Linked DNA regions of Tribolium castaneum. The protein of the gene in region 2 binds, or shares a complex with, the protein of the main gene of each other region. Links are inferred from orthologs where the notes say so. Each region holds a gene or a part of one and is shown on either strand. Other genes may lie near its edges.

What was found. The genes of interacting proteins can lie anywhere in the genome.
Region 1: Ciao1 (region 2) and galla-1 share a complex: the UniProt entries of both Homo sapiens proteins name them as parts of the CIA complex. The link is inferred for Tribolium castaneum from reciprocal best matches to the Homo sapiens genes CIAO1 and CIAO2A.

The regions. Positions count from the first base shown.
Region 1 is NC_087396.1:14,611,815-14,614,719, reverse strand, and holds galla-1 (MIP18 family protein galla-1), read right to left. Parts: upstream 1,782-2,905; 5' UTR 1,637-1,781; coding exon 1,603-1,636; intron 1,512-1,602; coding exon 1,446-1,511; intron 1,394-1,445; coding exon 1,314-1,393; intron 1,264-1,313; coding exon 1,080-1,263; intron 1,035-1,079; coding exon 937-1,034; 3' UTR 924-936; exon of another isoform or gene 869-923; intron 840-868; 3' UTR 556-839; downstream 1-555. UniProt on the Homo sapiens protein: Component of the cytosolic iron-sulfur protein assembly (CIA) complex, a multiprotein complex that mediates the incorporation of iron-sulfur cluster into extramitochondrial Fe/S proteins.
Region 2 is NC_087395.1:25,661,294-25,664,239, forward strand, and holds Ciao1 (probable cytosolic iron-sulfur protein assembly protein Ciao1), read right to left. Parts: upstream 2,014-2,946; 5' UTR 1,868-2,013; coding exon 1,235-1,867; intron 1,189-1,234; coding exon 667-1,188; 3' UTR 653-666; downstream 1-652. Other genes in the region: pkaap (A-kinase anchor protein 10, mitochondrial), read left to right, coding at 2,197-2,224, 2,277-2,360, 2,404-2,946. UniProt on the Homo sapiens protein: Key component of the cytosolic iron-sulfur protein assembly (CIA) complex, a multiprotein complex that mediates the incorporation of iron-sulfur cluster into extramitochondrial Fe/S proteins.

The sequences.
Region 1 (2,905 bases), on a different chromosome or scaffold from region 2:
CAAACGAACAAATTGTTTTTGTCATTTACCAATAATTGGTGTTATTTTTTGAGACTGCTAATTAGGATTTTTTATCAGATTTTTAATTGTACTTGTTATTTGAGGCGTTATTAGTATGTCTCCTTTTTTGTTATTTTTGTACAAAATTGTGCCGTTCCTTCAATTTGTGTCTAACCTCGTGGCTTTTCTATGTTTAGGTTACAAAAGGCAAAGACTGCTACAACTGGACACTGATAATAACATTAACATTTCAAACCAAAATTATGAAATTTTGGCGAGTGAAGCAACAAATAATTGCTTGATTGAGCTTTTGGAAACAAGTGTTTTTAAAGAAAATTTTAACATTTAAGCGAAAATTTGGCGGTTATAGTATTATTTATTTATAAAGCCGATTGAAAATAGCAATAAGGACGTTTAGAAAATTTATAGAAACGGCACGAGGATTAGATTTGTTTGCAACCTAACCTTTTCTGTAATGTCTAAGTGACTTCCTTATGATTTTTAGGTGTAATTTGTAAATTATCAAATCAAGATGGTGCATAATAGAGATAGGGATGAGACAAGATATTTATATTTTACTTATGTATTTTTTCTATTCTGAAATAAACCCAAGTGTGATATCTGTTACTCATGTTTTGTGAAACCCCCAAATAGATTTTTTATTAATCACAAAACAGCGATGAGACGCTGTTTCAAAAATAGAATGAGTCTTGAAAAAAAATATGCGAAATGCTGCGTCACCGTGATTTTCAACAGTGAAACATCGAAACCAGGAAACATTTTTGGGAAATTTTCCAGAACAATTTTCTGAGAGCTTGAAGCTAGAGTCTCATTTTGTACTGAAAGGAGCAAGGAAAAACTTTATAAATACGATATAATATGTAATTCTAATAAAATAGTAAATAACATTTCGGCTTAAATACCTGGATACAAAGTTCAGTCTTCTTCAACAATACAGTTTTCTACCATTTCCCGCAAGTTTGGATTTTCCATTGCGGCTGCTATTCTCTCTTTATCGTTAATTTGCTTATTGACTAAAAAAAGATGTTATTGACGAAATGCCTTTAAACTTGACCTACTTTCGTGTTCAGTTGTGTGGGCTCCTGCCTTGATATAAATATCTAATTTAATCCTATAAGGAATACATCTTTCTAATTTTATCCTAATACACAATCCAATTAGCGTTGCTAAAGAACAGTGGGGCACAGTGGGATTAAATTCAACCCTCACAACGCTAACATTGCCAGAAGTACGTTCCTTAACCTCAAATACCATAAACTCAGCAATTTATCAAAAAAAAAGGAACAAATCACCTCAACTCCCTCCTCATAAACTACGTTTAATTCTTCCAAAGTGTTGGGTTTCTCTGGGTCCTTTATAGTGCGAATTAAATCTAAAACAACCCCTAAATTAAATTTTTACTAAAATCAGGCTCAAGCACTCACCATAAACTGTATATTTCAATTCACTATCATCTTCACTCACCTCCTTGACTTCCTTGCGTGGACTATCTGTTTTTTTCCGGAAAAATGATAAAAACATTATGTAATTTTTACAAATAACTCATGTAACGAGTAATGGTAATTGATCAGCTGTTCTAACCTTCAAATTCCACCAGCTCCAGAAGGTCAGGCATTTTGTGCTTATTTGGAAAACTGTTAAAGGAAGTTAAAAAAATTCAAGGCTTTTGTTGAGAAAATTGTCCGGCGTCGTGTGAGGTCATTTTGTTACTGATTGCCAGATTTAAAAATTATCTCAAGTTGAAGCTCTTGTAATGATAACCCAAGTTCGAAAGGTTTTGATTGTGCACGTAATAGTTAATTGTTGTGGGTTGTGGGGCTTTCATTTCCGAACAGAATTCTATAATTAGGTGAATCCATATAAAGCAATGACTTGCAGAAATTTTAAAGGTGTTGTGACACCAAATTGGCAATATACTCGTATTTTATAAATACACATAAATAAATTAAATATAATAGTATTTTTTAATTTTTTAATTTAATTATTCATCACAAGTTTTTTGGAATAAGAAAAATACCTCAATGGAAATTTACCGTAACAGATTGAGTCGACATTTTAATTGTTGATTAATATTAGTTGGTTACAAGAATATTTTTGTGTTGATGATACCTGAGATCGTACCCATATGATTATTATAAATAAAAAATATTTATAAGTTCACAATAATAAGTGTCTTTCAGTTCAATTCAATTTGTAGATTTGGTTGCCTAAACTCTCCTAATGGAATCCTTTCGAATCTAAAGTGGTTGTTGCAGGACGATTCACGGGGAATGATAAGCGTGTCCATATTCTCAATGTAACTTTTATTACCTTTCGCAACTTTGCAAATCTTTTATTAAAATTACAATTTTATGCATGAGTCCTATTATTTTCAGTCTTATTTTTCAATAAAGGCTACAAATTTACTACAGACTGTGCATAGTAAACAATTTGGAAATTTTACTAGTAGTACTAGGCCCAGTACTAGGTGATACTACTCTAAAATTGGAACAACAAAATAATCAAAAAGTAACAGTGATTGTGCTAGAAAATTGAACAAATAGCCCGGCGCATCCACCATTTTTGAACTATTTTCTACCGGGTGATTCCAAAATTCTACGAGGTCTGTGTCTGTAAAATATAACTTTGAATACACATTCTAGTAAAAACTTGAGACTAGATAAACTGGATTGTCAAGTAAATGGCAAAGATCGTGTCCACTTTATTTCTTGTTAGAAAATATGTTACTGATTTGTTGCTGCGTTGTTTGTGTGTGTATATTTGACGATATATCTCATGAAATCTTATTATTGCTTGTGTCTGGTTTGATTGTAGTATTAATTTGAAACTCTGGTGAGCATCAGATAACGCGAAATACTCATACTTTTTCACAAGTTTAAAATGA
Region 2 (2,946 bases):
GGCGTGTCTAGTGTGAGGATGCGCCCCGCCCCTTGTCTCGGATTTTCCAATGGTTTGATTGGCGCAATGTTTTTAAAAGCGAACGCTGAGGCTAGCCAATCATTAACGCCCCCTTCGACACAATCCCAGCTCGTATGGGGCGAGTAAACCGCAATTTCATGTCTAATACATTGGATTACGATTCGTTCTTTCCAAGTCCTGTGACAAAACGATTAGTTTTGATTGGCTGTGTAATTTGGGGCGTACTTGTCAGAGACTGTTTTAAGGCCTTGAAAGATATTAGGGTGATAGGAGATAATGAGCCCCGCTTGGAAGTTTTTAGCTTCATTGACCACATCCTCAGTGAGGTCGTTTGTTAATAGAATTGTTTTGACCTGTTTGTCGGTCATTGGGTCCACCAGGAGCCCCACATTGTCCCAGCTCTCGGCAAGGGTCAAGGGGGCGTAGGATTGTAAAGTTTTGACGATTTCTTTGACCGACATTTGGGGGCCCGTGCTGTAGTAATTTTTAATCCGACTTAGGGCCGCCAACCGTCTTATTAACATCTGTGGAACGAAAAAGTAATCTCAATGGATGGGCGACAGTAGGCTGTGACGTTCAATTGTAAACAATTGACATAAACAGCCGCCTATCCATCAAAGAAAAACAAAGGAACGTCAAACAATTTTATTCAGGGATAAATTTCCACAATTTAATTTCCCCGTCGTCGCTGCACGACACTAAAATATCACTAAGAAGGGGGTTCCAGGCGACGCAGTTGACATCCTGGGCGTGCGCCCTCTCAATGCAGGTGACTTGGCTAAACGTGGGGGCCTCTAAGTCGCCCCCTTCCTCCTCTTTAAAAATTCTGATAGCGTCGTCACCGCAAGCGGTGGCGATCAAGTCACTTGAGTGGTTCCAAGACACGTCATAGATGGTTCTGTTGTGGTACCCCGACATGGTACACACACATTTCCACGTTTCCTCCGTATTTTGGCCCTTTTGCCAGATTTTCAACGTGGCGTCGTCGCTACACGACACAATCCTTGTCCCCGTTTTGTCCCAACTTATGCTCCAAACCGTTGACTCGTGCCCCTGTAAGGTGGCAAAACAAACCCAGTCGTTGTCTGACTGGTCCTCTTTGAACAACTTAACCGTGTTGTCGTAGGAGGCCGAGGCGAGGATATCGTCATGTGGGTGCCACACGACCTGCAACAACCTCCATAACAACAAAAATCGCCCCCTTGCTACCTACTTTCTTCACATCCTGTGTGTGCGCACTCAACACGGCCGCGCAATCATACTCATCCTCCTCGGCAATCTCCCAAATCCAAACCGACTTGTCACGGCTACAAGTGGCCAAAAATCGCCCCGACTTCGACCAGGAAACACTCTTAACCTCATTTTCGTGCCCCTCAAGAGTGGCATTGCACTCGAACTCGCCCGATTTCTTGTCCCAAATGCACGTAGTGGTGTCAAAGGAGGCCGAGGCGAGGTAATTGCCACAGGGGGACCACGCAATTTCCCGAATTGTGCGTTTGTGGCCATCGGTTAGAATTACTTTATTCGACCACTTCGAGTCCGAGTCTTTCGACCAGATTCGGATGGTCTTGTCTTCGCCACACGAGGCGAACGTTTGCCCCTTCGGGTGCCAACTCACGTCCCAAACGCGCCCCGTGTGCTTGCATAAAGTTTGAAGGGGCTCAAGCTTTGACATTTTGGGGTTAGGGTCGCGAACAACGACAGGGTGGTTAAAAAGTGGTCTCGGGGGACGCACGACGTGCCAAAAGGGGGCAAATGTACTTAAGGGGCTTACCAATGCCACAAAACGTGAAAAAATGGGTGATTTTATTACGTTTTTGCTTCGTTGAGTTGGCCGCACTGTCATTCAATGCAGCCAACGCATGATTATTATTGCGTTTTTTTGCAATTATTTACCAATAAAATTGCGTACTTAAGTGCAAAATCAATTATGTTTCTTCTAAATTAATTGTTCGCTTAATTTTGAATTTTTTTTTCGTGGTTGAATGTGCGATTTTTGTTTTTTTTTGCCGTCGGTGTGGCCAGCCTCATTTGACGTTTACATTTTTTGTGCCGTGAATCACAATCAACTTTGTTTATCAAAACAATCGGTTTTGTGGGTGTTTTGGGGCCTCTTGGCACTGTTGGGTTGATCGGACTCGCCCCCGCCCCCACAACCCATCATTACGATGAACCATGTTACAGTTTTGGAGGAAATCAAAAGGTGCGTAATTTCGTAATTGATGTTTGGGTTTTCCTAATTAGTGTTTCCAAAGCCGGCAATGACACGAAATGCGCAGCCCCAGCGGTGACGCCGCGGCCCCGGCCCCCGAAGCCGCCCCCTCTGGACCTCGATATCGGTGAGTACGAAATTGTAGAAATTGGGGTTATTGTGTCTTAAAGATGAGTTTGAGGCAACGAGGTCACGGCTATGTCGGACCTTGGACGAGGTTTTGGGCGATAAGGGGGCTCTGGGCTACTTTACCCAGTTTATGGAGGCGCGAAACGCCGCCAAATTTATCAATTGTTGGGGGGACATTGAGTCGTTTAAGTGTGAGATAAGTACGGATTGCGACTCCAGTGACACCCAAAATTCGAGTGATTCGTGTGAATCTAGTCTAGTTGAGGGCGCTGTTGCGATTTTTAAAAAGTACATAGCTCAGGAGTCCGCTCACAATGTTAAATGCCCCGAGTCAGTTCGTAACGAACTCGTTGAAAACATTTGTGACTTGGAGAAAATCGCCAGTTGTTTGGACCCCGTTCAGAGTTTCGTTACCGAAGTCATGGAGAAGGAGTATTTTGAGGCGTTTTTAGCCAGCGATTATTTCTGCAAATACCAGATCGATGTTTTGACGAGTGGCCAAGTGGCCCTTGACGATATTCTCTACAACGAAACGGCGCTTTTCTACTTTATGGAGTTTCTCGAACAGGAGAATTCGTGCAATT